4 linked regions of the Arabidopsis thaliana genome follow. The protein of the gene in region 1 purifies or fractionates together with the protein of each later gene. This does not show direct contact. Each region holds a gene or a part of one and is shown in the gene's direction. Other genes may lie near its edges.

Region 1 (6,640 bases):
ATTAATTAAAAAAATATGATATTACTAACTTTGAAATTTATGATGAACTCGAAAAGAGATGGTTATTGATTGTCCTTGGAAGATTATCTTACTTGATTTGTAATGATCGCTTAGTAGTGGTTTGATATGAGATATTTCTTTTGTTATGAGTGTCTGAGAAGTGAGAAAAAATCTTTAGTGCTCAATTACAATTTTCGTTGATCAACAATATTTCTACAGATTACTATAAATTACAATTGTTCATGGATTTACATTTTAACAGGTACTATTTCATTTTTAAATGATCATGCTTTATTTTGCCCAATTCCAGTCTTTCAAGTTTGATTGCTCTGATAATTTCCTAATAGAAATCAGTAGTTTCTGGTTTTGTGTTGTGTTTCTTCGTGTGTGAAGCTAATTTTGTAACCGTGGCTGATACTAGTTCTCTGGTTTCTTGAAAGATTTCAATTTCTTTGTTAGTAATTGTTTCCAGAGAAATTGTTTATTATGAAATACTTGTTGGCAGGTTTTTAACCTTTGGGGTTAAAAAAACTGGTGAAAGACTCCTGTCAATGTTTCCTCCAAAACATGAGCCTTGTGAAAATGATTGGCAAAGATAGTTGTTAAAAGTTGAAAGCCGATAAAGAACCACGCTATAAGCTTGAGTCTAGTAATGCAATCATACAATCATACACTTAGCATTAAGAGCAGTGAAGAAACTAGAACCGTAATAATGAAAACAGAGGATATTTGTTCTTCAAATTAGTTGCTGGCTTAAAGGATTGATCATTTTTAATGTTGTGAAACCTTCATTTATTCTTCTAATAAACTCTGCTATTGGCCAACAGATTTGTGGAAACAGAAAATGGTGAAAACGTGAATCTAAAATTAACACATTTGAGCCAAGATAGAATGTTGAAATATAGTGGTAATAAGACTCCAACTGGCTCTCTTTCATTAAGACTCTTGTTATCAAAAGAAAATATAAGAAAATCCGAAGGTTTCATAAAGACTACAGGCAAAATTCCATAGAAATCACAAGCTCTAATAAGAAACCACTTCACTTGGCAGCAGCGTGCTTGGCCTTGTTGTGAGACTCAAGTGCATTCCCTGAGTTGAAAGTCCTGCCAAAGAGATATAAGCCAACAAGCGAAATGTTATAACAAACAGAAATTTTGAGCAGTGAAGACAAGAGTTAGAGAAAGAGAGAGAGTCTCACTTCTTGCATGAACCACATGAGACTTGACTGGCCGACTTTGGGCTCTGGTTTGCAGCCTTTCCCCCTTTCTTCTTCTCATCTGTGCCAAAGAAGACGATGCAGGTTCAAATGAATACTCGTGTTTCCCAATTTAGTGAATAATGTAAGAGAATGGTTTGTATCTATACCTGTTTTCTGAGGAGTAACTGCTACTTTCGCCTTCTTTGCTGACACAGGTGCTTTAGGGGTAGTTTCATTAGCTCTCTTCTTGCTTGATGCAGGCTTCTTAGGTGTAGGCTCTTCTTCCTCAGAATCCTCACCATCAGAATCATCTTCATCCATCTGCAAGAATCATAACACAAGAATGCGTCACCAACATTTGTTCAAAAAAGATGTCTCATCTCCTCAGTCATTATTCTGAAATGGTAAACAAAAAGAGACAAATCACAGAAAGCTATAACAACTCACTCCGTCAGAATCAGACTCATCCTCTTCATCATCAACAGCTGGCTTCACTTCTGCAGGCTTAGCCTTTGGTTTAGCTACAGCCTTGGCAGCATTCCCTGCAAATGGAACTAGTTATTACCAATTATCAGGATCACAAATCAAGTAGTCTCTGTCTAGTTTAAGTACCAGCAGGAACTTCTTCCTCTTCTTCCTCTTCTTCCTCTGAATATATCAATACAACACATAAACGAATCATCAGCAACCAAGCCAATATTACAGTTACAAACAGAATAATTGAATTGAAACAGATTTTATCTTGCAAACTCACCAGAATAGCCTTGTGGCTCAATGTTGGGAGTTTTGTATCCAACAAAGTAAACACTTCCTTTTCCCCAAGTGTGAGAAAGCTCAAACTCCTTGTCGAATACCAAATCACAGAAAAGCTGAGGGATGTTCTCAGTCGATAGAGTTCCCAGAACCAAGTTCTGGTTCCCAACCTTTACATGTAAAGGCACAAACTCTCCCTTCTTGTTTTTACATTCTCCAAGCGATGCCTACACAGATAAACAATCCAAGATTGTTTACACTAGACCTCTAACAACTCTCAGAATCAAAATCAATAAGATTTGATACTAAACCTGAGAAACGTGGATAAGAATGCCTTCTTCAGGAGTCACTGTAACTGGCTTTCCTGATTTAACTTCAATTCCTGATTACATCGTTTTAACAAAAACCAACATGAGTATCAAGATACAGCTTCAAGTTATACACTACCACACTAATTCCTATATAATATAACCATTTCTATGTGAGAATATTGCAACTTAAAACCCTAGATGAAGCTACACAACTACACCACACAAGGAAGCAGCCACAAGAGAGTTCGAAAACAGATTTTAAGAAAAACCCAAAAAGCTTCAGACAAAACAGAGAAGATTCTTACCCCAGAACTCCATGGCTAAGAATCAAGGTTGAGAAAAAGAGAGGATTTTTAGGGTTTATGAGCAGCTGAAAATGTAAGAGAAGAAGAAAGGGTTTTAAGAGATTATTTATAAGACAGAGGGTTTTAATACGAAGCCGTTTTAGGGTTTTAATACGACGCCGTTAGGGTCTTTACTCTTTAGGGTTTTTCTTCAGTACTAACGACGTCGTTAAAGATATGAAAGTTTGTGAAAAAACAAAATGCTCCGATCAAATTCAAACGGCGGAAATCAGTATAGGCGAAATCTTCCTCCGTCGAAGCTCAGGGGAATGTCTTCAAGCTCTCAAGGCTTCACGATTGATGCAGCCATGGAGCTGCTGATTTCGACAAAATGTGGTTAATACTCTCGAGCGGCGTTTGTTCTATATCCCTTCTTTCAAAATCAACCGTGACGTCGCCGGACTATTTGATTAAGGATTGTGCTGTTAAATCCAATGTTCTTAGCTTCTGGCGTCAAGTAAGTACGGAACATCATTCACCTTTCTCTTTTGAGTAGAAATTGAGACAAATTTGACATGATTCATAGAGAAGAGTAGAGATTGTTTTAGGTTTGTTCTCAGATAGCATTTCATTCTTAAGGAGAATATGTATGAAGTGGATTGTCCATGTGTGACACCAGAGGTTGTTCTCAAGGCATCTGGACATGTAGACCAGTTCACTGATCTAATGGTTAAGAATGAGAAAACTGGAACTTGTTACAGTGCGGACGGACCACTTGCTTAAGGATTATTGCTCCAGACACGAAGAACACTCTAACAAGGCATTTTTGTGAAGGACTTGTATTACTACAATGGGAGGAAATTTCCCTTTGCTGCTGCTCAAATTGGTCAACCTTTAGAAATGAGGTGATTATCGTTTAATTTTCTATTCCTTTGCTTGATAGATTGGATGTGTTTATCTCAATCAGGGACTCTTTTTTCTTTCTTTTATGTCTGGCTTTTAATAAGTGACGCATATTACTTGCAGATATCTCATCGTCAAGGGCTTCTTAGAGTTTGTGAATTCACGCTGGCAGAAATTGAGCATTTTGTTGATCCTGGGAATAAGTCACATCCGAAATTCTCTGATGTAGCAAATTTTGAATTCCTTATGTTTCCAAGAGAGGAACAAATGTCTGGCCAATCTGCGAAAAAACTTTGCCTTGGCGAAGTTGTTGCCAAGGTCAGTATCTGTAATCATCTGCGTCTACTTACTTCTAGTATGCACTCCCTCAGACCTTTTGTTTCTTAATTGCTTATTGATGCCTGCAACTGTATTTGAATAGGGAACTGTGAACAAAGAAACTGTAGGCTACTTCATTGCGAGAGTGTATCTTTTCCTTGTCCGTCTTGGCACAGACAAGGAACAGTTGCGTTTCCGCCAGCATTTTGCAAATGAAATGGCCCGCTATGCTGCAGATTGTTTGGATGCTGAATTTGAGAGTTCATATGGGTGGATTGAATGTGTTGGTATAGCAGATAGGTCTGCATTCGACTTACGTGCCCACTCGGTAAGAAACTTACTTTTATCTTGTATTTTCTTCATTTCGTTTGACAGCTAGAGAATTGATGATCAAAACCCGTAGGTAGGAAAAGTTGCTCTGTGGCTGAGAGAAATTTCCAGAACCTAAAGAAGTAGAGGTAATCAAGTCAACATGTTCATCTCTGTCTCTATAGCTTGTTCTTAATATGGGTTCTCTGTTATTTCAGAAACTTGTGATTACTCCTGTGAAGAAAGAACTGGTTCTTGCATTCAAGGGAAATCAAAAGCATGTCGTTAAATCTTTAGATATAGAGTGACTGAAATCTATTGTTTTACTGACATATTTCTTTGTCTCATGATGTTGGTTTACATTAAACAACATGCTTCGTGTAATGTTTTGTTAGGCGATGAATGAGCAATAAGCTATGGAGATGAAAGCAATCTTGGAAACCAAAGGGGAAGTAGAGTTTTACGTATGTACCCTAAAGAGAAACGTGAGCATCAAGAAGAATATGGTGTCAATCTCTAAACACAAAAGAAACTGTAAAGTAATTCATGATTAGATTAAACTAGAGAAAAGGTTCAAAATCTGTTTTCTAGTATATGCCAAATTTGTTTTCAAACAAATTTCGCAAAAGTAATCTGTTTTCTAAAAAAGTATTCAACCATTCGAATGATCTCAAACCACCTCCAAATAAAACTCTCTCAGTTTTCTAGTATATGCCAAATTTGAGCTCCATCCAGCAATGAAAAATCTCTCATCACATCCCATATACACATACTTATGTCGATAACATCCCCAATTAATGCCCCCCTTTTTTTTTTCTCTAAAAGCAGTTTGGAACTTGAATGAATCGATAGACAACTATGTACACATAAAAGACACCTAAACACTACAAATGGCACACAATTAGAAAAAGAAAAAAAAAAACTAAAAAAACTCAAAACTGATCAAAACTCAAGGCATTAGTACGACTTTTGAGAAATTTTCTACCACGATTTCAAATAAAATACCAATTTTTTCTTATCTCCAATTAACACACATAAAATAAGCAAATATTTATTTTATATTTTTTATCTTCAGTTACGTTAATTATTATACACATAATTTTCGTTTAAATCATACATTATTTCACATGTGAATGACTGATACAATTAGATTTTGTATGTAGTATCAGTGTGAGCAAATTCTACTCAGCTGTTAGATTATTACACACATTGTGGTAAAGATTCCATAGAAGTAAGTGGTGTCTTGTCCTTGTCGTTGCTAAAGCGATTAAGCTTTGGGGTTAGGGTTGGTCTTGGTCTCCTCAAGGCGTACGTGAGTCTCCCAAAATATGTGATTTTATAATCATCATACGTATATATACATCAAATTATGATCCATCATTCTTGATCAAAATGGACAATTTTTATTTTTTTAATAATATAGGTCTATGCAGTCGTCATTCTATGTGACTTTTCAATTGTACACATATACGTGGTTGCAAAGTTAGCAATTCCCAAAAACTTGCATGTGAATAAGTCATTTTTTGTTTGTTGTGCACAAATCCATATACATTAATTATATCAATTATAAGTGTCTGAAACATTTTTGTGTGTGTTATATATAGATAACTTGAAACTCTAATATTTATATTCGTCTTACTGGTTTATAATGTTTGAAAGATAATGGAACAAAACAGCATCGTTATCACAATCATTTTCAAAATTCACTAGAAGATATTGGTGTTTTAAAAATCTAATACATGATTACAACTTATGCAGTGGTTATGGCCATGTTAAATCATCCTGTGCAGGTACATTTCTCGCCTGATATTAAAAAAATAGATTATATATAGAAGCTGAAGTCGTAACTCTACAATTTGTTTCAGTTTTGACTTTTGATAATGGTAATATTAATTATCAATTTTATTTAGCCAAAAGAAAATTATCATTGTTATTAAAACCAAAAGAAAATTTCATGTGTATTATTGTAGTCTAGTTTCCAAGTCATTTAAGAGTGCGCAATAACAAAAGAAACAACAAATATTAAAAATGCAATAACTCGAAATTAACAAAACAAAAACTAATAGTATCTATATAAAAATAACCAAGATAAGAATTATTAATAAAATGAAACGCTCGTGCTTGCATGCTATGTTTGTAATTCGATTTGACCAATGGGTAAGACTTTGGGTCACATTGGTAAACTGCAAGTTGACCACAAAACTTGTACGTATGAGAGCTATAATTAATATAAATTACCAATTAAATAAACACACAGAAATTTGACCATGTAATCATGCACTGTTGTACCGTTGTTACCTTCAATTACTTCGTACTACTTGTAACTATTTTAGTATCGTTTACCGTTTTTTTTATCCGCTAAATAACTTCTACCATTTTATATAACCGATCCATTTTGTGCCCTTAACCGAAGTTATTCAAAACTCAAAAGTGTTAGTATTGTTAGTGCACCCTCTATCAGAACAAACCAGAAGGAGTGTTGTTTGCTGGAACAAGCTGGAAGCTGTTTCAGAAGACTAAAATGAAGATCAAGTAATTGATGATGATCGTGGATATACCGCCAA
Region 2 (7,723 bases), on another chromosome or scaffold:
AACTAGGAGATATTATTATTATTATTCACTTGTTTATACCAAAACAAAAAGTTATCACTGGACTCTAATTTATCGGCCCAATATATCGGTCCTTTTATTTGAGTTGGGCTAGTTACAATATATCGGTCCTTATCACGAAGTGCCCATCCAATACCTGCAGGTTGGTTTGGAGATAGCCATGAACCATCAACGAAGCAACAATACGAATTAGCTTGCTTAAGAATTAATTTGAGCTATTCCATTTTCTTTCAGACTTTGCACTTTCTTTGTTGCTTCCTGTTTATGCTTTACGTCTAATCCATCCATATTCACAGCTTCGAACCACAATTTACAGTCAAAGCATGGCTTTACTTATTACCTCCGGTATTGCCCACTTCCTATTATTAAATAAAAGATCATTTCTCATTTTCCATATCCTCCTCCAGCCTATAGAAGGGTTTAACTTTAAATGATAGGATCCCTTTAAATGATTTAAATATTTAATTGTCTTTGGAAAAAAAGAGAGTCAAAATTGCCTCTGCAACAACTAAAAAAAAAACTAAAAAGGGAAACAAATCCTCATCGAATACAGTGAATATGGAAAATGGGGAATCAATATCAAACAATACCATTCTTGGAATAATTCTCGGATTCATTTTTGAAGAAAAAACAAGTAATGGCAAATTTTCCCAAGTTGTGTCCCCCTTTTTATAAGAAAAGAAGACTCAGCAATTGAGGTTTTTAGAGTGAGCAAGAACCTTGTGTAGCAAAAACCTTAAATCCGTCATCTATGGGAAGTATAAACTCTGTGGCTGAAGCTAAAACAGAGGAAGATCCTTCGACAAATCAGGGAGATGGGGACGACGAATCACCTAGAACCCTAATTGAAGATCAGAGAGATGTGGAGGAATCAAAAACCCTAAGTGAAGATCAAGTAGATGTGAAGGAATCCAAAACCCTAATTGAAGATCAAGGAGATGAGGAAGAATCTAAAACCCTAGATGAAGATTTGGATGAAACAGAGGAAGAGAGTGGAGAGTGCCCTTTATGCCAGTTCATAAAGGGAGGTGAGTGTAAAGAAGCATTCACAGAATTGGAGAATTGTTGCGACGAAGCAAAGAAGAACAATGAAGATCACGTAAGTAAATGTAAGGAGGCAAGACTCATCTTTAAGACTTGCATGTATGATAACCCTGTTTACTATGAGCCCCTTCTTGCTGGTGAGGCTAGAGCGATGGCCAAGATGTTGAGCGAGTTGTTGAACGCGGAAAAGGAAGCTATTATGGCTGGTGAGCCTGCAGTCATTGCGAGGGCGTTTAGCGGGTTGCAAGAAGAGAATGCTGAGCCAATTCTGCCTGCTGAAGCTGCAGCGATCGGGAAGGCGTTTCGCGAGTTGGAAGCTGGAAAGAAGAAGGAGAAGGAAGCAGAGGGATCCGAGGGTAATGAGAGTGATCATCAGAATCAGAATTAGGTAAAGCTTTTTTTATGAGCATATTGAGACTTACATTGATCTGAATGAAAATTCAAATTTCGTTACTCTTAATTTTGTTTAGGTGTGTCTTCTTATATACACCATTGGTTATGTAATTTGGATGCATCTATAAAATACTGTCGTAATCACCTTCTTCTACAAAAAACTAAGACCATTTTAATATACATTTTGATTTTTTTTAAGATAAGACTTTGTGCAAGAGTTTTTATCCAATGATAGAATCTTAAGTGAGACTTGAGTAGTACTTATGCTCAACTTTTGAAACAAGAGATAGAAGTAAAAGAAAGAAGCACATTCCTTTGGCACATAAAAGTCATCAGCAGTGGTCTTCAGGATCTTCCGCAATACGCTTCAACATGAATAGCAGCCATACGGTCCATGAAGTGATCAGTGGTAATCACTGCAAGATGATCTTCAACAAAATCTTCAATCTTCTTCCAGTCACGATCAAACCTAAGAAACAGAGAGCAGTAGTATCATCAGCACAATCAGGTCCTGCTAAAATCAATATAATACTTTTAAAAAACCACACAAGTATAAAATTATTACAGTTGAAGTGCTTCAAGAAGCAGATCTATTTAGCTAATCAAAAAAGATCAATTAACTCAAGGAAGCAGATCTTTTTTAGCTTAAGTTACTACTGACCTAACACTATCATAAACTTCCCTCTCGTTCACTTATGTATCTGCCTTGACATATCAGTTTATATCCCTAAAAGCCAGCAATAATATTGAAGGATCTAACACTAAGGAAAACTAAAACATGCATTGCTCGCCAATCCAAACAGAAACTCACCAAATCGTAAGTTTCGATATCATCCAAACCAAACAAATTGAATGCCTGGGGAGAGAGAGTCTTACTGAGGAAAAATGCTTCAATTAGCCCAAATATTAAAGTCCCAATATAAGGAGACTTTTTGTTAAATTTTTAGCCCGATTAAACATAACATTTTTTAATCAGCATGCAATATTTTCATTTAATGTGCTCGGTTCTGTCACGGACACTGACATGTAATTTTTCATTTTCACGGGTGAGATAATTTTCAGACAATATTAGAATTTTTTTCTTCCCTTTGTAGTTATTCGAAATTATGTTATTGTTGGGAAGTAATGAAAAAAAACTCAACAAAATTCGATTTAATACCTATCCATAATATTATTGATCCTAAAAATAGAAAAGGATAATTTTGCTGAGTCAGAAACGTGATATTCGCGACGTTGTTTCCGGATAAAGAGTAAACGTACGACTGCTTTAACTCACCTATAAAATCACGACCGTCGATTTCATTTATGTCAAGGGGCAAAACTGAAAATCACACAAAAACAAACAAAACTTTGCTTACGTCACATCATTATCTGTGACTAATTCTTAATCATCATCATCATCATCACTTACTTAAATCTAAAAAAATCTCTGTTTGTATATATATTATCTTTGCGATTTTTATCCAAATCTTCCAAAGCTTAGTTTTTTTTTTTTTTCAATTTCTCTCTTGCGTTTTCGATTTTATTACAAGAACTTTGTTTTGGGCTTCATCCATCGTTCAAGGTTCGTTGAAAACTATGAAGAAAGTTGAGTTTTTTATGCTCCTTCTCTGCTTCATCGCAGCGTCATCTCTAGTGGTAAGACTTAATAATCAAAAGCTCGAATTTTTAATGTTCTTCCAATCATTGAAATATAATCCGAGATTAAAGTTTTTAAATTTGATCTTGATTGGTGTGTAAAGTCTGCTGATCCACCAACATGTCCTGCTGATTTGGGAGGCAAGTGTAGTGATTCTGATGACTGGCAAGGTGATTTCTTCCCTGAAATCCCCAAGATTAAGTATGAGGTAAACAATGGTGATGTTTCTCTTTAAAACTGTTGGTTTAAGTTGGAAACTTTAGTGGATTTGTTGTTTGCATGTGTAGATGAATTGGTTGTTGATGAATTTTTTCAGGGACCTTCGAGTAAGAACCCACTTGCTTACAGGTGGTATAACGCTGAAGAAGAGATTCTTGGGAAGAAAATGAAGGTACTTTTATTTTCTTGTTTGTATTTTCTTGCAACAATTTTTGAGTTATGTTTTTATGGATTTGAAGAAACGTGTGGGATGTTTGTTTGTTGTCCTGAATTTTTTGAACAGGATTGGTTTAGATTCAGTGTTGCGTTTTGGCATACTTTCCGTGGGACTGGAGGTGATCCATTTGGTGCTGCTACTAAGTATTGGCCTTGGGAAGATGGTACTAACTCTGTGTCTATGGCTAAGAGAAGAAGTAAGTCCAGATTGTGTTTTTATGTTAGTTTCTCTTCGTTATCGAGTTACTGTGATTTGAGTTACTGATTGTTGTTTAATGCAGTGAGAGCTAACTTTGAGTTCTTGAAGAAACTTGGAGTTGATTGGTGGTGTTTTCATGACAGAGACATAGCACCTGATGGCACTACACTTGAGGTAACTCGAGCTTCTGAACTTACACCATTTTGCTTTACATTGAAACTACAATCTGCTTTATTGCCTGGTGTTATAAACCATTTTGGTCCTGATATTTCCTTTGCAGCTTGCTGTTTCTTGTGGTACTTGATAACTTTGTTTTGCTCTTGTTGGCCCAATGTTAACTTGTTTCAGTCATAAAGAAAGCGCCTGTAACCTGTTTATACTTAATCTGCAGGAATCTAACAAAAACTTGGATGAAGTTATCGAACTCGCCAAAGAACTCCAAAAGGTGATTCAGTTTGTTAATTTTCCAGTTCTTATTACACATTGGATTTTGGAAGATACTTCTTGTAGTTAATCAATTCTCCAATACAGACTCATGTATGCCATTTTATAATTGAATCTTTTTATCACTGAAACAGTACTATCTTGTTACCATTCCTTAGTTTGATGTGCTAAGAAAAAAAGGTTCTTCGTTTTCTTCAAATGCAGGGGAGCAAAATCAAACCATTGTGGGGAACAGCTCAGCTTTTCTTGCATCCTCGTTATATGCACGGAGGAGCGACCAGCTCTGAAGTTGGAGTGTATGCTTACGCTGCTGCTCAGGTGAAGAAAGCCATGGAGGTAACACATTACTTAGGTGGTGAAAACTACGTTTTTTGGGGTGGTCGTGAAGGTTATCAGACACTCTTGAACACTGATATGGGAAGAGAGCTTGATCATCTAGCCAGGTTCTTTGAAGCTGCTGTTGCTTACAAGAAGAAGATTGGATTCAAAGGTAAGTCTACTGCTTCTTTTTCTTGTCCTGTATTCAGTCTTATGGGAGTTATTGCACAATAATCTTCTTTTTATCAGGCACGCTTTTAATCGAGCCCAAGCCTCAAGAACCCACCAAGCACCAGTATGACTGGGATGCTGCAACAGCTGCCAATTTCTTGAGGAAATATGGTCTTATTGATGAGTTTAAGCTCAACATTGAGTGTAACCATGCCACGCTCTCTGGTCACACTTGTCATCACGAGCTTGAAACTGCAAGAATTAATGGTTTACTTGGCAACATTGATGCAAACACTGGCGATGCTCAAACTGGTAATTTTTCAATTTCAGCTCTCTTGATTGTTAACACCTCCTAACCAGATTCTGATTGAACAAAGTTCTCTCATTCTCTTAACAGGATGGGATACAGATCAGTTTCTTACAGATGTTGGAGAAGCAACCATGGTTATGATGAGTGTCATCAAAAATGTATGTAATATTAAAGAAACTCGCTATTTTTGGGAATTTCATTGTAAATTTTTGAATGTAAGCTCATAAGAGCTTCTGTTTTTCACATATGAAACAGGGTGGGATTGCTCCAGGCGGCTTCAACTTTGACGCTAAACTGTAAGAGCGATTCTTGATTCACAATGTTTTACTGTTTCATACAAAATTAAACCGAGAAAGAAGCTTATAATGTTTGGTTGATTAAACAGGCGAAGAGAGAGTACAGACGTGGAAGACTTATTCATTGCTCATATTAGTGGAATGGATACAATGGCTCGTGGACTGAGAAATGCAGTCAAAATCTTGGAGGTTAGTTAAGATATGAATAGATAAGTTTTATAAAAGAACCAAAGAGTGTAGCTTTAACTTGGTTTCGGTGTGGTAAAGGAGGGAAGTCTAAGTGAATTGGTACGCAAGCGATATGCAACTTGGGACTCTGAGCTTGGGAAGCAAATAGAAGAAGGAAAAGCTGATTTTGAGTATCTTGAGAAGAAAGCTAAAGAGTTTGGAGAACCAAAGGTTTCTTCTGCTAAACAGGTACAAGTTTCTTGCTATTAATTCTGGTTTTGTTTCGTTAAACACGAAAAACACACAATGATCGATGTCTTTTGAAACGAAATCTGCAGGAACTCGCTGAGATGATTTTCCAATCTGCAATGTAAGAAGAAGAACAAGAAGGCTTTTTATGTTTATTAAAAGTATCGTCTTTTTTAGTTTCCCTCGCATCTTTGAGAAGTTTGAAAACCAAAACATTGGAAAATAAGATGATTAGAGAGGTTGGTTTCATTATTTCAGTTGATGTACTATGGTTTCACACTCTAATTACTTTAAATTGAATAACAAAAAACTGTTTAGGCCTTTACTTTGATTCAGTTACGGTTTTTGTGACAAAGACCAATGAGCAATTCCGATCTATTTCTTCACTCGACTATAGTAAAGTTTGTAGGAGGTTTTATACGAGAAAGTTTAAAACAGCGATATACATATATACAATCAAAATTCTTCTTACCTTATGAAAATTTGAAAAGCAATATATGATTTTCACATTAAGCTTTGAGTTTTGAGTTTGAAAACGTTGATTCTTAAAAATGGTCTAACATCAATAAAAACTTTATCCAATTCATTTCGTTTCGTTAGTTATGATTTCAGAATTTTCTGTTGAGATTTAAAGGAAACTCAAAGTCCTAATTTGACAAATTTCTCGACAAAATCTTTGATAGTATTTGATAAGAAAGGTTTGAAAACTAGGGAAACATAGCCTATCTACTTGATGTATCTATGAAATAGTTGTGATGACTTTGTTAATTTCGTATTTGCGACGACCGTGATGTATTACAATAATTGAGTCTTCTATGATGTTGAACCTAATTACTATCCGTCGATGGTTCTAGAAAATTTCTTTATTTGTTGTTGAATGAATTAATTTTTATATATTTTATTCGAAAAAAGGTCGGCAAAAAGTAGTAAGTCTTTTCTTTTGTCGAATTGTGGCCGAAAGTAGAAAGTCTCGTGAAAGCTCACATTATGAATTTATGATAAATAATGAGGAACTTATTAATAACATTAATATATATCCTATGATTCTTACTCTGTTTTCATTTATGTGACTGTGTTTCAGACTAGCATAACAGTTGATTAACGGTTTCAAAGCAGAAAATTTTGAGCTGGGTTGATATTTACATATATACTAATTAGAAAACGTTTAACAGCTAATTTCATAAAATAAGTAGCATTTCGTTTATAATTGTTTTCAAAAATGTTAATGCGTTAATTTTTTTTTTTTTTGATAAAGAAATGCGTTAATTATTGATAAATGTTTTCAATAATAATATGAAACACAGGGCTATACATTCACTAAAATGTGGTTTGTTTCATAAAATTATTTATTATAAACTTTGATTTCAAAGTTTTCGTAGACATTTCATCAAAAATCATAGATTGTTACGAAAAGAATAATGAAGATGGTTATTACAAATTGTCTTTTTCAGCAACGTTCACATAGTACTCTCACCTAACAGCATACAACTTGATAATCTTTTCATTTTTTGTCATGTGACCAAAATTTTCATACGTTTAATTAACGGCAAAGCTCTCGGCTGTTTGTTTTTTCTCTTTTTTAAAATTTCTCAATACATTTTTCTAGATCCATGTTAACCTTTTAATATTTTTATATATCTTCCCCATCTGCCATTTGATCTTGTAGATTTTTAAGAAAATTTAGAATATGTTTCCGAATTATCGACCTCTGGTAATTTCTTAAATGTTTACATTACATACTGAGTACTCTTATTTTGTTCTACATTATAAATCATATTTTTCGAGCCTACATTATGATTAAATAAAGACACTATAATACAAAACATTAAACTATAAACTTCACTTTGTAACTCTAAATTTGCATACCTTTTGTAAACGGGATAAAAAAAATTGTTGCAGACCAAAATTTCATGGATGGCGGAGAAAAAAGCTAGTGTAAATAAATTTATATTAATGTCTTTAAATATCTGTTTTCCAAAAGGAAAAACATAATCTTCATAAAAATTTCTATCTTTTTAATGGATAATGTAGGGAGATTT
Region 3 (9,906 bases), on another chromosome or scaffold:
CGTCTCTTACTATTGCAACATATGCAATTAGCATGTTCTTACTTCCATTGCTACTAACTCCATTTGAAACATATGATTTGATGTTCTCATATACTCTTTGCCACTCGTTCCATGTACTTATCATTGCCAGAAATCCTCCAAGAACTGTTATAGCTAGAGGTAAACCTCCACACCTTACAATTATCTGCTTCCCAATCTCCTCCATTTTCTTAACCAACATTGGCTCTGCATATCAGGTGAATAAGTGTGTCAAGTATGATAGTATATATGCTGCAGAAAGATTAGAGCCTAATGATTACCTATATTTTCTCTTCCAGATAATGAAATTTTCTCCAACAGCTCCCAACTCTCTTCACATGTTAGCTTCAATTGTTGCTCATGAAGCACACCCCTGGGATCAGCATATAAAGCGACCAATGCTGCATATTGAGGTTAGCTTCTCTTTTGTTCTCAAGTTTGTCACCATTGTAAATGAGCAGCTGGAAAAGAAACAACTCTTAAGGGATATGCGGTACGCAGTTGCTGCAACTAGGGAGTTACTTCCGTCGTTGATGAACGACTACTAGTTTTCTGTGTCCAAATACTTTTCTGAATCAGTTCATCCGAGATCTTTTTTCCTTCTGTAAAAATAATAATATTTTTTCTTCTTTTTTTGCAGATTTCTTCTTATATCACAAGTATTCTCTATGGCTAGTCTCTTATTATATGCATCTATTTTGTCTACTGAAGACATAACTTGCAACATTTCTTGGAGTTTTTGGTCTTGATCAAGTATGTTTTTTCTGCCTCTCTGTGATTGAAACTGTGTTCTTTGAAAACTGGACTCAGATTGATTTTAGATGTGAATGACTCTAATCGAATTAGTACTGGTTCTTGTTGATGTATCTGACTTTCATTTTTAACTTTTTATTTCTTACAGGTTCATCCAGTTATCATCTGTAGCTGGATATGTGAAGTGTCTTCTTGCGAACTTATGTCTTAACTTTGAAATACTTTGAATAACGATGATAATTTGGAGTAATGATGGTAATTTGATCAAATTGTGTTTGGCTTTTTGGTGTGTCCATTTGCAGAGATATATTGCTTTTTAATAACGAGAAAAATGTTATTTAATACCCTAATTTTCAAATTATAACCGTTTTATACGTCAACTTTATATATGGTCATTTTAAACATGATGTTATCGTTGACCACCATTTAAACCATGAATATTTCGTTGACCAGGCCAAAAAAAATAGTCGTTAACGGATTATTCAACTCCCGTTAACACCTCCGTTAACCATTCTAAACGATGTCGTTTTCGTTACTATAAATCATGTTTTACCCTTTTATAAGCTTTTAAAATCCCTTGTAAATCATTCCAATGCCACTTACTTATGCTTAAAAAAACATTGTAAACCATGCTAGCCCTTTTTAAAAATCCTTGTAAATCATTTTATGCCACTTACTTATGCTTTAAAAACGATGATAAATCATGTTTTACCTTTTTATAAGCTTTTAAAATCCCTTGTAAATCATTCAATGCCACTTACTTATGCTTTAAAAACGATTGTAAATCATGTTTTACCCTTTTATAAGCTTTTAAAATCCCTTGTAAATCATTCAATGCCACTTACTTATGCTTTAAAAACGATTGTAAATCATGTTTTACCCTTTTATAAGCTTTTAAAATCCCTTGTAAATCATTCAATGCCACTTACTTATGCTTAAAAAACGATTGTAAACCATGCTAACCTTTTTTAAATCCCTTGTAAATCATTTTATGCCACTTACTTATGCTTTAAAACGATTGTAAATCATGTTTTACCCTTTTATAAGTTTTCAAAATCCCTTGTAAATCATTCAATGCCACTTACTTATGCTTAAAAAACGATTGTAAATCTTGTAAAACTATTGTAAAAAGTTTTAAAATGATTTACAAAGGTTTAAAAAGGGGTTTTAAAGTATTTACCTATGTTTTTAAAGACTTTATAAAGATTTTAAGAGGTTTTAAAATGATTTACAAGGGTTTTTAGCAATTACCAAAGATTTTAAAAAACTTTACAAGGTTTTTTAAAAGAGTTTTTAAAAAATTTACAAGGATTTTTAAAAGCATTTTTTTTGCTGGGAAACAAAATTTACGAGAAAAAATTTTGGCGGGAAATTTATTTTTGGCGGGATTTTTTTTTTTTTGGCGGGAAAAAAAGGTTTGGAGGTGTTCTTCAATGAATAGGGGTGCTTGATGAGGCTTGTATTAAATGGTAGAAGTCCATGGAGAAATCGAAGTGTTCAAAATCGGAGGTGTTCTTCAATGGAAGCTTTACTATGGAAATGTTTTGTTTCGTTAAAGATGAAGAAGAAGAACTTTAAGCGTATATAAGTATCTGTGTTTGTATAGAATGACAGAGAAATCTTTGCAGGTAGAGTGGTCAAATGACCTTTGATTTTTCTCAAATGATAGGGGTTCGAATCCCAGGTCTGTCATTTCTTTTTAAAGAAAAACGAAAACGACGTCGTTTAGAATGGTTAATGGAGGTGTTAACGGGAGTTGAATAATCCGTTAACGACTAATTTTTTTGGCCTGGTCAATAAAATATTCATGGTTTAAATGGTGATCAACGATAACTTCATGTTTAAAATGACCATATATAAAGTTAACGTATAAAACTGTCATAATTTGAAAGTTGAGGTATTAAATAACATTTTTCCCTTTTAATAACTGTAACCAATATGTAACAGAAATCCATCCAACCCAATTTGATCAATAGCGTAAAAACTCATTATTGTTATAAAATTTTAGGTAGTTTACATCAAAATAATATCATTCATTTTTTATACTATAAAAATAGTATTTAGATTAATATTTAACAAGAATAAGAATAATTTTTATATATAGATCATATCAATCCACATAATAAAAAGAGAAAAACTCAAATATGAAAAAAATTCAAGTAACAAAAATATATTAGAATTACATTTGGTTGATTGGAAAAAAAAAAATTACGTGTAAAACTATAGTATTATCTGAGAAACGAATACAAAAATTTGCAACAGTAGCAGCAAAACAAATTCAAAACTTGCGGCAACGACAACAGCAACAACAACAACGAAACAAACAATAACATGCGAGGCAGTCTCACGGCTAGTGGCAGCAAACCCAACAGTTTATCTAAACGAGAACCAAAATTTACTCTCGTTTTTTTTTTAATGTTATCCTTTGATGAACAAAATGTATTTTCCAAATTTTACTTTTTTTATTTTTTAAGTATTATCCCTTAAAATAATATATCTTGCGGAAAAGGAATCGGATTAAATAAATTTTAACGGTAGAAAATAGGATAGGAGGAGAGAGAGAAGGTCTTTTATTGGTTTGAATGAGATTAGTGAAGGCAGCTTCTCTTCTGATTTCTTCAACCAAACCTCCGTCTAGGGTTTTTTACTCTTCCCATCTCCGCCGCCCTTTTTTCTCTCACTTCCGTTTTTCTTCCTCTTCGTCGACGTCTTCCTCCGTCGCAGTCATGCCGGGTTCCGAACCATCGGAGACTCAGTGGCCAGCAAAGAGAGTCCGGGATACTTATGTCGATTTCTTCAGAGGCAAAGGCCACAAGTTCTGGCCATCAAGCCCCGTTGTTCCTCATAATGATCCTACTCTTCTCTTCGCTAACGCTGGTACGATAACTTCGATTCCTCATATCTGTTTTTGCCGATAAGATTGGGAATTTGTCCAAGTTGATCTATGGAATTCAGATTCTATAGAGTTGACTTATTCTGTCTTCTTTTGTCTTTGAAGCTTTGGGACTTATTCAAATTTCTCAATTTCAGTTTTGGTCGAAATTTTCTGATATTGATACTGAGCTATGTAAATTAAGTTCTCTTGATATGTCTGGCGAAAAATAGAATTATTAATGACATTGAAACTTCTCTGTTTTTCAAGGAATGAACCAGTATAAGCCAATATTTTTGGGTACGGCCGATCCAAATACTGAGCTTAGCAAGCTATCTCGGGCATGTAACACCCAAAAGTGTATTCGTGCTGGTGGAAAGCATAATGATTTGGATGATGTCGGCAAAGATACGTACCATCACACCTTCTTTGAAATGCTTGGTAACTGGTCCTTTGGAGATTATTTCAAGAAGGAAGCTATCGAATGGGCTTGGGAGCTCTTAACCAAGGTAATTAAATACCTGGGAAATTTGTCTCTGTTTACTTGATTTAAGAAAAATATACATGGTATTATTCAGTAAACTATTGTCTCCCTCCCTTGGGACGGTATGTCTCAATTTTGTTAAGTGATTCTTCTCTTTTCATTTGGTTGTACATTTCAGTTTTGTAAAGTGATTCTTCTCTTTTCATTTGGTTGTACATTTCAGTTAGATACCTTGTGACAGTATTTCATAATTTTGTAAAGTTACTATTCTCTTTTCGTTGAGGTTGTTTATTTCATTGAGGTTGATACCTCCCTGTTTTCATGCCTCAGGTCTATGGGCTACCGACTGATCGAATCTACGCTACATATTTTGGCGGTGATGAGAAAGCTGGCCTTCAACCTGATAATGAGGCTAGGGATATATGGTTGAAGGTTCTTCCATCTGGACGTGTGCTGCCATTTGGTTGCAAAGTATGTATTGATTATTTAAGATAATAACTTTTAATCTGTTACCTAATTTTTTTGAATCCACTACTCATTGATTTCCTCTCTCCTGAGGTTACTTCACAAGTACTTCAGCTAAGTTGCCTTTGTATTGTCACCATTGTTTCTTGTATATATTGACACATCTGTTTGTCAATGCTAACGACAACCAACTGTAAGCTTGAATGCATTTTGGCTAGGAATACGCTATCATGTTTGGTAGTTGGCAGGCTTTAAAAACCATTGTTTATGATTTACAGTCAAAATCTTGTACAAAATGTAAAACTTAAGGGTTTTTAAATGCTGTTTTTCTTTCATTTAACTTTTGATTAAACTGCAGGACAATTTCTGGGAAATGGGCGACACAGGTCCGTGTGGACCTTGTACTGAAATACATTATGATCGCATTGGTAACCGTGATGCTGCATCCTTAGTTAACAATGACGATCCAACATGTTTAGAAATATGGAATCTTGTCTTTATTCAGGTACAAACCCTCTCTGTCCCAATTGTTATTTAGTTCCATTTTACTAATCTTTATCTCAATATCACAATTGTTTTAATGATTTTGTAGATTGTGTTACTGAAAACTCTATATTGTGCAGTTAGCTAGATTGTTATTGCTCCTTTAGCTGTGCTATCATATTCCCAATTGTTTCCTCTGACTGGGATGTTACTTATGTCTTCAAAATAGTTCAACCGAGAAAGTGATGGCTCGCTAAAACCTCTGCCTGCTAAGCATGTTGATACCGGGATGGGCTTCGAGAGGTTGACTTCTGTTCTTCAAAACAAAATGAGCAACTATGATACAGATGTGTTCATGCCTATCTTTGATGACATCCAAAAGGTAATTTGTGAAAACTTCTGTTGATGGTTTCATGACAGCTGTTTAATGATGGTTTCATTGAGTTATTTTTGTTTGGCCTCCTCTTAGGGACGCATTTGTCACCTTAATTAGTACTATCATCATTTTAGTTCATCAATTTTGAAGTGGATCATGGGTTCTATGCTTTACGTCGAGACTCCGTCAATTGTTTTTGAATATTTCTGGTTTATTGAATTTGGATTTCATGATAAAGGCATTCTACTATGGGTATCCTGGAGATTATTCGTTGTTAGCTGTGTCACTTTTCATGTATTTTTCTTAGTGAGAGGATTGAAAAAATCTTCAAATTGCTCTGTTTACCCTAGTTGTTGCGAATCTTAAGTTTAGGTGTTGATGCTTTCACTTTTTTAGGCAACGGGAGCTAGGCCATATTCTGGAAAAGTTGGTCCGGAAGATGTTGACAGAGTTGACATGGCATATAGAGTGGTTGCTGATCATATTAGAACCCTATCATTTGCAATTGCGGATGGCTCTCGTCCTGGTATATACTTGGTTTCTTGTCTCAATCACAATTGTGGTGGTTACAGAAAATACAATCGTCTTAGTATTCAATCATTTATTTGAGTTCATACTTATATGTTCTCAGAAAAAGTGTTTTTGGTTCATTTATTCTAAGTTGGGCATGATGAGTTTGTCAATTTTCTTCCTCAGACAATCTGTTATGTTATACAAATAGAGGTTTGTTATTTCTTGTAGTCTAACAAGTACCAATTAATATACTATCTCTTGCAGGTAATGAGGGCCGTGAGTATGTTCTGCGGCGTATTCTTCGTCGAGCGGTTCGCTATGGAAAGGAGATCCTAAAAGCTGAAGAAGGATTTTTCAACGGGTAGGAAATTATGTTTGATTTTCGTTGCATGTTTTGTTTGAATATTGTTTCAAATATTGTTTCGTTGTAGCTGGAACGTTTATTTCTGTCTTGTATCTTTATAAATGAGCATATTTTTTTGACACATGTTTTATCTCGGGCTTTCATATTACCTGTAGGCTTGTAAGTTCTGTCATTCGGGTGATGGGCGATGTCTTTACAGAGTTGAAGGAACATGAGAAAAAGATCACAGATATAATTAAAGAAGAGGAAGCAAGCTTTTGCAAGACCTTGGCAAAGGTAAGGGCTGGATTTAATTTCCGTCAAAGCTTTGAACCTCTTATCTTATTTTGTTTTGGGTTCTTCTGGCTCGTCGCACTGAAGTAAAAGAGACAGTTCACAGCTTCAATCAGTGGCATGTGATATTTCTGTATAGATTGTTTCCAATTTCATCATTGTTCAGTTTTAATGATGGTTAGACATAATTATAGTATTTTCTATAGGGAATCTTTTTTCTGAAAGATGAATTGGCTTTACCTGGTCGTTCCTCCCTTTTTTATGTGAATAGGTGGTGAGTATAAGAACAGTTAGACTGATTATAAATTTTCACGGCAGGGAATTGAGAAATTTCGGAAAGCTGGACAGGCGGTTCAGGGGAATACACTGAGTGGAGATGTACGTATCGAATCATTTTTGTGATGTATGTTAGGCGTTGCAGTATTTTCATCTGGGATGTTTGAATTCTATCTCAACATGTTGTCTTCTCTTTGCAGGATGCTTTTATCTTATGGGATACATATGGTTTCCCGTTAGATTTAACTCAGGTACGTAAGTCATTTATACTTATTTCTGAATGTTCGTGTTATTTTCTAACTTTTATTCTCGGGGTTCAGTTGATGGCTGAAGAAAGAGGGTTACTGGTTGATGTTGATGGTTTCAACAAAGCCATGGAAGAGGCGAGGGAAAGATCGAGAAGTGCCCAGAATAAGGTGTTTCAACTTTCCTCTTGTTTACTTTCTTAAAGAGCGTTTAATGCCAAACTTACGTGTGACTATGAACGAAGTTTGCAATCACATCATCTATTAACCAATCTTTTAATGTCATTTTTTTATAGCAAGCTGGTGGTGCCATTGTTATGGATGCTGATGCTACATCAACATTGCACAAGGCTGGTGTTTCAGCAACAGATGATTCTTTTAAATACATTTGGTTCCAGGTTTGTCCTTTTATTCCAGAAAACTTGCATGTTGCACCTGAAATGTTCTTATGTTGGCGTAGAAATGAAGAAGTTAGGGCATATAATAGTAAATGGATTTTGCTTTAAAGAAACCTTTATTGGTACTCTGCCACATATCGCTGCAGGACCACGAGAGTGAACTAAAGGCAATCTATACTGGCTCTACTTTCCTAGAAAGTTCAGCTGCTAGTGATAACGTGGGACTAGTATTGGGGTCTACAAGCTTCTATGCTGAGCAGGGTGGTCAGGTAATCCATTTTATTTGATATGTATTTTAGTTTGCTAATTGTTTTTCATTTCTGATCATATGACTGGTGGCATGAAATTGCAGTCTTCAGTATGTTCATCTTGGATTTGTATATATATACAAATGTAGACATGGCAGTAACACCATGAACACAATCATATCAGAACTGCATTGTTTGAATTTATGTATCGGCTGGCAAATACCATGATATAGTTATTGTTGGTTTTGCATACTAATTTCTGAAGTTGTCGTTGACAGTCACATAAATATTTTTAGATTTCATATCCATGAACAAGGTTAAGCTTTTGATTCACTTCCAATCATCTATATGTATATAAACTCTGTGCCTCTAACATTTTTTCTCTGGCAATAGATTTTTGACACTGGACTTATAGAAGGCTCGTTTGGGACATTCAATGTATGCAATGTACAAATATTTGGGGGCTTTGTTCTTCACATTGGTTATCTCTCTAAAGAAACTGGAGAGGTATCTGTGGGTGATAAAGTGATTTGCAAGGTAACTCTCTGCATCAAACAGTGTTTGTCTCATTCACCATATTTGGTACTATCCAATTTGTTTCCACCTTCGTTTTCATGCGTATAGGTTGACTATGAGAGGCGTAAACTCATCGCTCCTAATCATACTTGCACACATATGTTGAATTATGCCCTGAAGGTATCCCTTTTCTATAATTTAAGTAACCTAAACTGTGATTTTCTAATTTTTTCTATTGGATCTGAAAATATTCATGTCCCATGAATTCAGGAAGTGCTCGGGGATCATATTGATCAGAAGGGATCAATTGTTCTTCCTGAAAAACTGCGATTTGATTTTTCTCATGGTACATTTTTGAATAAAGTCATTTTTATTTTGATGTGGATGGTCATCTTAATTGTCTGATGGGTTCCATAATTTCGAGTAGGCAAGCCGGTTGATCCTGAAGATTTGAGAAGGATCGAATCCATAGTGAATAAACAGATCAAGGATGAATTAGATGTGTTTTCCAAGGAAGCTGTGCTTTCTGAAGCCAAGCGCATCAAAGGTCTAAGAGCAGTGTTTGGAGAAGTAAGCTGTCCATCAGTTCTGTAGCTATACCTTTTTAGTTTGGTTTCTAAGAATTGTTAAAGCGTTCTCTCTTACTCTTTTTAGGTCTACCCCGATCCCGTCAGAGTGGTGTCAATTGGGAGGAAGGTTGAGGATCTCTTGGCTGATCCTGAAAACAATGAATGGTCATTGCTTTCTTCCGAGTTTTGTGGAGGTCTGTTTCCATTGGCATTAGCTATTGGGACCAAGATATTACGTTCTGAATAGAATGTTGAGTATAGGGTTATTTTGACAATTCCAGGAACCCACATAACAAACACCCGCGAAGCCAAAGCATTTGCTCTTCTATCGGAGGAGGGAATTGCTAAAGGTATTCGTAGGGTAACTGCTGTGACTACTGAATGTGCTTTTGATGCATTGAATGCGGCGTCCTTACTTGAAAGAGAAGTAGAGGATGCCTCCAGAGCGGAGGGAAGTGCATTGGAAAAGGTTTTCTCCCTCTCTTTGTCAAACTATTGACAAAATGAAGACGATGTCGTTACTTGGATTCACGTAAAACTTATTGTGTTTGTATTTGCACATTCACAGAAAGTTTCTGCTTTGAAAAGCCGAGTAGATGCAGCAATTATCCCAGCAGCTAAAAAGGCAGATATTAGGACTAAGATTGCTTCGCTTCAGGTTATAAGCTCTTTCAGCCTTACAGTCAGCAGCTTTGTCTAGATTTCCCTGTAATTTTGTAATCAAAGCAATTCTGAAGTGGCAATTATTGTTTTCCTAACTTCGCAGAATGAAGTAAGAAAAGCTCAGAAGAAAATAGCGGAACAAAACCTGAAAAAATCTGTCAAATTAGCAACAGAGGCAGCTGAGTCCGCAGCATCAGATGGGAAGACTTTCTGCATAATCCAGCTGGATGTGGGTCTTGATGCAGCAGCTGTGCGAGAGGCCGTTTCAAAAGTCATGGAAAAGAAGGTAATCCGTATTTTCTTACATCATCACTTGTACCATAACCTGTTCATAGATAGCAAGAAAGTTAAATTAACGTTTCCGTTTGATTAACCTTGCAGGGTATGTCG
Region 4 (7,923 bases), on another chromosome or scaffold:
GATGGAATCTTCTGTTCTTGCTCCTCCTCGTCTCCTGGTTCTTCTTCAACTGTCTGTGGGAGTAATTGCCATTGTGGGTATGCCTCTGTTTTTATTTCACTTTTCTTGATCTATCTATTTCAGCATTTCATTGATATAAGACCATAATTATCTGCTTGTTTAAGTACATTGAACTGGAAAAAACCTTATCTTTTGTGTTAGGATGCTATTCTCAAGCTGTTCCTCAAGTTGCAAGTGTGGGAGTGAGTGTAACAATAAGCCGTTCCAACAACGACATGTCAAGAAGATGAAGTTAATTCAGGTAATGTGTGATTGGTTTTGGTTGGATAGAGTGGATTTTTGTTGTTGTCGGTTTGTTATTTTAGTTGTGTCTTGTAGACAGAAAAATGCGGATCAGGGATTGTGGCAGAAGAAGAAATCGAAGCTGGAGAGTTTATCATTGAATATGTTGGAGAAGGTGATGTGACTATTTGATATTTTGTCTCCCTACTGAATATACTGCGACCATGGTCTAATTTGTTTTCTTTTTTCGTACCTTTGCTCAATGTAGTTATTGATGATAAGACTTGTGAAGAGAGGCTTTGGAAGATGAAACACCGTGGCGAGACAAACTTTTATTTATGTGAGATAACCAGAGATATGGTTATTGATGCTACTCATAAGGGAAACAAATCAAGATATATTAATCATAGCTGCAACCCTAATACGCAGATGCAGAAATGGTTTGTTGTTAACTGTCAACCCTTAGTGCTTGTTTCCTAGTTTAGAATACTTGAGAGAGAAAAGTCATCATTTGGTTTACTTTTGCTTGCAATTAGGATAATTGACGGCGAGACCAGAATCGGCATTTTCGCCACCCGTGGTATCAAAAAGGGAGAGCATTTGACCTATGATTATCAGTAAGTTTATATCCTCCTTCTCCAGTTTACTTTGTAACATATCTGTTTTTATGTTGAGTTGTGACACTAAGAAATAGAGCAGGTTTGTTCAGTTTGGTGCAGATCAAGACTGCCATTGTGGGGCTGTAGGTTGCAGAAGGAAGCTTGGTGTAAAACCTAGCAAACCTAAGATAGCCTCGGATGAAGCTTTTAATCTAGTGGCACATGAATTGGCCCAGACACTGCCCAAGGTATTTTCAAATTTTATCTGAAAAGAAGAATCAAATATATATCTCGTCTTTGCCCTGGCATAGTTTCACAGTCACTGAAAAATTTGTGTGATGAGGTCTAAGTGACTCTTTTTCTTTCCCCACTTTTGGTTAGGTGCATCAAAATGGACTTGTAAATAGACACATAGATGCAGGTAAGTTTGGATTTTTTCTGCTCAATTTGCGAGAGTAGCTTATTGTGTTTTGGTTGTAAGAAAGTAATTTGGATTCCCATGTTTCTCCAGGAAAATCATGGAACAATCTTAGTCAAAGGGATACATGTTCGCGTAATTGCATTGGTGTGGTGATCAGGTTATCTCGCCCCACGAGTGATAGGTATTTATTGAGTTTTGAACTCGTGGATTAGTTTTATGACTCATTCTATGCTTTTCTCATCCAATGTTTTATCTTTTGAGATTTTCAGGTGTTTTGGCCTCGTTAGACATTTTGATGAGTATTCAAGAAAGCACTCGGTATTACAATTAGCCAATACTTGTTCCTCACCATCGAACTTGGCAAAATCATTCTCAATTAAGACCTCTCTGTTAACATCTTTAAACTTGGTCCAGGTGATGTTCGAGGATGGTGTTACCGAGTTTGTCGACATGTCGAGAGAAGACTGGGAGATTGTCTAATATTGTTTTCAGGTGATTTATACTCTTCACTCTCTTAATGAAACATTAAAACTCCCAGAAGCATAGAGTATTAAATTACCCTGGCTGCTATGTTTCTGCAGATTGCTTTGAAGTTGAGAAACCAAAATAACCTGTCTTGGTAAACTAAAGGTATCCCAAAAAACCCGGGTCTGACTGACTGGGATTGGTGCAGTGACATTGTTTGTTGCGTCTAACTTGTGACCTGTGTTTGTACAACCATTATAAGAGATATCATATATCTACTTGTGTAACCACATCTGTACTTTCTTCTCCTTCCTTCTTTTTTCATGGGGATCTCAAATGATGATGTCTTGCAAGAACCTTCGTGGTGTGTAATTGACTTTGTAAGAACCGGTAATCTCATATCCGGTTTAGCTTTTAAAAATTTGTATCCAAAGACCGGTTTGTTCTTGTTTGCATGTGCTGTTCTTATTCGTGCATCTGTGTGAGTGTGACTGTGTCGGTGTCGCCGACAAAAGCCGGTGTTTGCAAAATCTGACCAGTTTTGTTTTAGCGATTAACGTTTCAAATTCCTTCAAATGCAAAATGAGTTAAACAAGTGAAAAATTACTAAAACAACATAACAGTTTTAAATTGGAAAAAGTTTTGTAAAGTTTAAAGATACACTGTAAGTGAAAAACGGAAAATTTTAATTAGATTTTTTTTTTTTTTTTTTTTTTTTGGTAAAAGTAGATTATTTTTGTTAAACAAAAGTGATGGATCATTGGTTTTTTGGTAGTAGGTGGGTGATGTGGGTGTGTGGTTCTGGTTCACCAACTCAAAAAGCATAGACTGCAGGGGTTGGGGATTGATAACGACAAATCTAATTGTGGTTGGTAAATCTTTTACTAATCACATTCCTTTAAAATAATTATGTAACTCATCTTGTTTACTAATATCAACTCGACTATCTTAATATCAAATAACTCGGATTCTTCATTTTTTTCACTTTAGAATGGTTTGGTAAATCTCTTGAATAATAAACACTTTAATAAAAATGTTTTTTTTTGTCAAGCATAAAAATGTAACTCATGTTGTCTAACTACATGGATTTTCGCACAAAACAATGATTAAATGTAAATTATGTAATTATACTTTATTTAAAGTATGATTTTGTCTTAAAAATGAAAATAATATAAGGAAGTGGACGGGTAAGGTAAAGTCTAAAATTCACCAAACATTTTGGAATCTCTCTGTTTACTATAAAGCAGTGAGTAGAAGAACCTGAAAGAACTCGCCTTTGTCTCTCATTCTTCTTCTCCATTTCGAAAAGAAGATGAAGGTGATAGATAAGATCCAGTCATTAGCCGACGAAGGCAAAACAGCGTTTTCCTTCGAATTCTTCCCACCAAAGACAGAAGATGGAGTCGACAATCTCTTTGAGAGAATGGATCGAATGGTTGCTTATGGTCCAACGTTTTGCGATATCACTTGGGGAGCTGGTGGATCTACCGCAGATCTAACGCTTGATATAGCTTCGAGGATGCAAAACGTTGTTTGTGTTGAGAGTATGATGCATCTTACGTGTACTAACATGCCTGTTGAGAAGATTGATCATGCTCTTGAGACTATTAGATCTAATGGGATTCAGAATGTGCTTGCTCTTAGAGGTGATCCTCCTCATGGTCAAGATAAGTTTGTTCAGGTTGAAGGTGGTTTTGATTGTGCTTTGGATCTTGTTAATCACATTCGTAGCAAGTATGGTGATTACTTTGGTATCACTGTCGCTGGTTATCCTGGTAATGTCTCGAATTCGAATTTGATTTCTTTGTTTCGTGTGATTTGTAGCTAAAGATTGGATTTTTATGTGTTTTGATATTTCAGAGGCGCATCCTGATGTTATTGGTGAGAATGGTCTTGCGTCTAATGAAGCTTATCAGAGTGATCTTGAGTATCTGAAGAAAAAGGTTTGTTTTGTTTGTTTTTGTTTTGCTTTGTTCTTAAATGTCTGCATCAATTTTTGAATTTGGGTTTGTCTTGGAACAGATTGATGCTGGAGCTGATCTGATTGTTACTCAGCTTTTCTATGATACTGATATATTCCTCAAGTTTGTGAATGATTGTCGGCAAATTGGGATTAGTTGTCCCATTGTTCCTGGAATTATGCCTATTAATAACTACAGAGGCTTTTTGCGTATGACTGGTTTCTGCAAGACTAAGGTAAGTTTTGATCGTTTAGTAAACACCAGTTCCTGCAAATGAATCACCTTTTAGGAGATGAATGATATTGCTTGTTGCCTTTCCATAAAGGTGTTTGTTTGCTAGCTTAGGATATGTTTTTAAAAAAGTGTATTTAAGGTTTCGTGATCAGCTAGATGAAATTGAGATACTTGATTATATTATTGTTTTCAGAGAAAGTGTTTGTTGGATAGCTATTCAAAGAGAATTCTTTATATTAATGTAGATACCAGCTGTGCTTTTTGTGAAAAAAAGATAGATGAATTTACATATGATTATATTAATGTAGATACCAGTTGAGGTGATGGCTGCCTTGGAGCCTATCAAGGATAACGAAGAAGCTGTGAAAGCCTATGGTATTCACCTTGGAACAGAGATGTGTAAAAAGATGTTGGCTCATGGAGTCAAGTCTCTTCATCTCTACACATTGAACATGGAGAAATCTGCTCTTGCAATATTGATGGTTGGTCCTCACTTTTTCTACTTGATGTAAAGCATGATACTGATAGTGGAGTAGCTTTACTATTTTGTTGTTGTTTCAGAATCTTGGTATGATTGATGAGTCCAAAATTTCTCGTTCTTTACCCTGGAGACGCCCTGCAAATGTTTTCCGTACTAAGGAAGATGTGCGCCCCATTTTCTGGTAACAGAGCTTAGTTTCTCTCGTTCTGATTATACTTAGCCACATATTTTACTCTGCAGGGAAAATAAGACTTGTTCTTTCTTCTAATCTTTTGAAGGGCAAACCGTCCAAAGAGCTACATTTCTAGAACCAAGGGCTGGGAAGATTTCCCACAAGGCCGGTGGGGTGATTCACGCAGTGCTTCATATGGTGCACTCTCGGATCATCAGGTACTACAATACATCATCTGTAATTGCACAACTCTCTTTCAAGATTTCATAACAAAGGGGTTTTGAAGGGTATTTCTTCGATTGGTCTTTTTGATTTGCTCTAGATTGTTAAATGTAACATCTTCTTGTGAGCTTGTTTGCTGAACTAAATGCTTTTGTTGTCAGTTCTCACGTCCGCGAGCACGTGACAAGAAGCTTCAACAAGAATGGGTTGTCCCACTGAAAAGTGTTGAAGATATTCAGGAGGTAGAACAATTTTTTCACTACCACACATTTCCCTCACTTTCACCTGTAAAGATGCAGACGCTTACAATAATCTTGCAAAAAAACTGTCACATAACAGAAATTCAAGGAGCTCTGCCTTGGAAACCTTAAAAGCAGTCCCTGGTCTGAATTAGATGGACTCCAGCCAGAGACAAGGATAATAAACGAGCAACTGATAAAAGTCAACTCCAAAGGCTTCTTGACCATCAATAGCCAACCATCAGTCAACGCCGAGAGATCTGATTCCCCAACTGTTGGTGAGGAATCAGTCCTGTTATATCTCTGTTCTCATAGCAAACAGAGTTTTGATTCGTGATTGATCGATACTTGTGCTTGTGTATGATTTGCAGGATGGGGAGGTCCTGTTGGATATGTATACCAAAAGGCTTATCTAGAGTTCTTCTGCTCAAAGGAGAAATTAGATGCAGTGGTGGAGAAATGCAAAGCTTTGCCATCGATTACTTACATGGCTGTGAACAAAGGAGAACAGTGGGTATCGAACACTGCCCAAGCTGATGTGAATGCTGTAACTTGGGGAGTTTTCCCGGCTAAGGAAATCATTCAACCAACCATTGTCGATCCCGCTAGCTTCAACGTCTGGAAGGATGAAGCATTTGAGACTTGGTCAAGAAGCTGGGCTAACTTGTACCCAGAAGCCGACCCTTCCAGAAACTTGCTCGAGGAGGTAAGTTCTATATTTTTCTTGATCTGATCATATTTGTTATTGTTTTTGACAATGGTTTATTTAAAATGACTAATGGACATTTTGATCCAAAAATGCAGGTGAAGAACAGCTACTATTTGGTAAGCTTGGTGGAGAACGATTACATCAATGGTGACATATTCGCGGTGTTTGCTGATCTTTGAGAAAATCAAGAGACAACTACAGTATATCGGTTTCCTACTGCTTTCAAGATTTGCTTTTGTACTTTCTCTAAAATATTGGGATTTTGTTTTTTACATCTGTCTACCATAACAGTATTGATGTGCAAGTAATGTTATTGATAAAAAGGCATCAGTTTCACTACCTTAAAGATCCAAAACCAAACAATTCTTCGGCAAATTTTGTTTGTGTTGATAGTTCAGAGGAAAACTACAAAAAGACACGCAAAAAGATAAAAAGGCTTTAAACTTTTGTTTATAATACTTGCAAATGATATCCAGGAAGAGGAATCTTAGGCTACACATTGGTTTAATGATCATAGTTTGTTCACATTGGGGAGCGGGAACAGTGGTTTTAACAAAACTAAAGAATAAGCCCAAGTTCTGATGGCTTCAATGCATTTCTCAAACGGTAATTGTAGAGATAGTAGTGCGACTGTCGACATAGTGGATAAAACCTCAACTCTTTCAAGAAACTCTCATTCTGCATCACATCCGAGGCATAAAACACATCGAAACCTTTTTGCTTAGAGACTATTAGGGCATCATTCACCAGCTGGGATAACGAGGTCAGTGTCGCTACATTGCAGCAAGCATAAGCACATTCCAGGGTCGTGTATTTCCGGTTACCGGGGATAGTTATAGAGGAATTGCAGAAGCTGCAGAAGTCAGTGACATCATGAGTTTCAGGGCTTACTACTACGTAACTGTAGACAATATTTTCCCTTGGGAGAAGCCAGTGCTTGACATCGTTGTCATCAAAGTCAGTCGCAACTGCAAACTGGCTAAGGTAGTTCCTGAGCAACGCTGTAACAGCAGGGACATCACGTCGCTCCATTTCCCTAAATCCAGGAGTGATCGGTGCATCTGGTAACTTGTAGAGTTTGACGGTCCTGCTCATTGTCATTCTGTCACGAAGCCTTGTTAACCCAACATCGATTAGCTTCTTCGGGTTCAACATTCTGACCCAGTCTCGACTGGTGGTAACTGGTCTAGAAAGTATATGACTTGAGGTATAAGCCGCTTGCCATATATTCTGCAACTTAACCCTTCTAGTCAACTCCTTGATCATGAGAGGAGCAAGTCCCTTAGACCTGAGCTTCTTGTGAACACACAAGGAATTGACCTTCGCCATTTTAACAACCTCATCACGCACCCTGATTCTTGTTGGCCTGCCACAGATGAAAGCAATGAGTTTCTTGGAGGTCTTGACGCGGACTCCAATATGCCAGCTCTGGTAATAACCAGGTGGACACAGTGCCCACCTTAGATACTCTTTGGAGTACTCATACTTGATCTGTTGTCATCAGGACTGTTTTCCTTGAGAAAGTTGTACATCTCTAAACACATATCGTCAGAGTTCATATCGCATATGGTCCATTCGAATTGACCAAGAAGGTTGTACGGCTCTTGCTTGACCTCAGACACCAAAGTTGCGGGCTCAATTGGGCCTTCAGGCAAACTCGTGTCCTGGATATCTTTAAACTGCTCAACAGGTTGAGTCTCCCAGAACTTATGGGTCTTTGAATACTGGCACTGCAGTAACCTTCCAACTATGGTTCCACCTGAAGTATCATCCTTGGCTAATTGAATTTGTGAGCTCTTGGCAACAGTAACTAGTGCATCCTCCACTGGCTTCAGTTTTGGATCTGACATTGTTGATCGTCTGCACAAAAAAATTGATTGCTCAATCATGAATACACAGCAAGCAACAGCCATGAAACAAAACTGAAAACGAATAAGAAAGCCGAGCTAGCTTACAGTATGAAGCATTATCAAGATTTTTAACCCTAGACATAGCGATCCCAAAATTTCTAGCAACAACACACAAATACTTTCCGATTTTGTAGCAAAATCGCTATGAAGAATCCGATACAAGGTCATGAATCGAAACAAAAACCCAAGAAAACTGAGCGACACTATAGTATCAACAATGGCGAAGTA

The links.
Region 2: the proteins of AT3G44740 (region 1) and AT5G57655 fractionate together in Arabidopsis thaliana (co-fractionation; one large-scale study listed by BioGRID). This does not show direct contact.
Region 3: the proteins of AT3G44740 (region 1) and ALATS fractionate together in Arabidopsis thaliana (co-fractionation; one large-scale study listed by BioGRID). This does not show direct contact.
Region 4: the proteins of AT3G44740 (region 1) and MTHFR2 fractionate together in Arabidopsis thaliana (co-fractionation; one large-scale study listed by BioGRID). This does not show direct contact.

Annotation. Positions count from the first base shown.
Region 1 is NC_003074.8:16,293,985-16,300,624, reverse strand, and holds AT3G44740 (Class II aaRS and biotin synthetases superfamily protein), read left to right. Parts: upstream 1-2,654; 5' UTR 2,655-2,937; coding exon 2,938-3,063; exon of another isoform or gene 3,064-3,191; coding exon of another isoform or gene 3,192-3,227; intron 3,228-3,307; coding exon 3,308-3,451; intron 3,452-3,572; coding exon 3,573-3,767; intron 3,768-3,870; coding exon 3,871-4,095; intron 4,096-4,170; coding exon 4,171-4,215; 3' UTR 4,216-4,225; exon of another isoform or gene 4,226-4,294; 3' UTR 4,295-4,752; downstream 4,753-6,640. Other genes in the region: AT3G44753 (uncharacterized protein), read left to right, coding at 506-599; HDA3 (histone deacetylase 3), read right to left, coding at 1,040-1,103, 1,199-1,277, 1,366-1,519, 1,646-1,740, 1,811-1,846, 1,953-2,178, 2,263-2,333, 2,568-2,580.
Region 2 is NC_003076.8:23,343,997-23,351,719, forward strand, and holds AT5G57655 (xylose isomerase family protein), read left to right. Parts: upstream 1-2,678; 5' UTR 2,679-3,033; coding exon 3,034-3,093; intron 3,094-3,197; coding exon 3,198-3,302; intron 3,303-3,410; coding exon 3,411-3,485; intron 3,486-3,596; coding exon 3,597-3,726; intron 3,727-3,810; coding exon 3,811-3,902; intron 3,903-4,119; coding exon 4,120-4,173; intron 4,174-4,376; coding exon 4,377-4,662; coding exon of another isoform or gene 4,663-4,724; exon of another isoform or gene 4,725-4,739; coding exon 4,740-4,973; intron 4,974-5,058; coding exon 5,059-5,129; intron 5,130-5,226; coding exon 5,227-5,267; intron 5,268-5,356; coding exon 5,357-5,456; intron 5,457-5,534; coding exon 5,535-5,684; intron 5,685-5,773; coding exon 5,774-5,809; 3' UTR 5,810-6,069; downstream 6,070-7,723. Other genes in the region: AT5G57640 (GCK domain-containing protein), read left to right, coding at 770-1,450; AT5G57650 (eukaryotic translation initiation factor-like protein), read right to left, coding at 1,801-1,924, 2,267-2,289.
Region 3 is NC_003070.9:18,591,759-18,601,664, reverse strand, and holds the start of ALATS (Alanyl-tRNA synthetase), read left to right. Parts: upstream 1-3,185; 5' UTR 3,186-3,353; coding exon 3,354-3,648; intron 3,649-3,913; coding exon 3,914-4,152; intron 4,153-4,457; coding exon 4,458-4,598; intron 4,599-4,950; coding exon 4,951-5,097; intron 5,098-5,304; coding exon 5,305-5,457; intron 5,458-5,847; coding exon 5,848-5,977; intron 5,978-6,228; coding exon 6,229-6,325; intron 6,326-6,483; coding exon 6,484-6,604; intron 6,605-6,919; coding exon 6,920-6,979; intron 6,980-7,077; coding exon 7,078-7,128; intron 7,129-7,197; coding exon 7,198-7,293; intron 7,294-7,418; coding exon 7,419-7,520; intron 7,521-7,666; coding exon 7,667-7,789; intron 7,790-8,161; coding exon 8,162-8,305; intron 8,306-8,392; coding exon 8,393-8,464; intron 8,465-8,554; coding exon 8,555-8,630; intron 8,631-8,711; coding exon 8,712-8,854; intron 8,855-8,938; coding exon 8,939-9,047; intron 9,048-9,134; coding exon 9,135-9,322; intron 9,323-9,421; and 5 more.
Region 4 is NC_003071.7:18,259,222-18,267,144, forward strand, and holds MTHFR2 (methylenetetrahydrofolate reductase 2), read left to right. Parts: upstream 1-2,967; 5' UTR 2,968-3,079; coding exon 3,080-3,542; intron 3,543-3,627; coding exon 3,628-3,710; intron 3,711-3,789; coding exon 3,790-3,963; intron 3,964-4,270; coding exon 4,271-4,444; intron 4,445-4,523; coding exon 4,524-4,624; intron 4,625-4,721; coding exon 4,722-4,833; intron 4,834-4,998; coding exon 4,999-5,079; intron 5,080-5,176; coding exon 5,177-5,354; intron 5,355-5,447; coding exon 5,448-5,782; intron 5,783-5,880; coding exon 5,881-5,964; 3' UTR 5,965-6,125; downstream 6,126-7,923. Other genes in the region: histone-lysine N-methyltransferase ASHH3, read left to right, coding at 1-77, 202-301, 379-457, 551-722, 819-899, 982-1,129, 1,263-1,302, 1,393-1,483 and 2 more.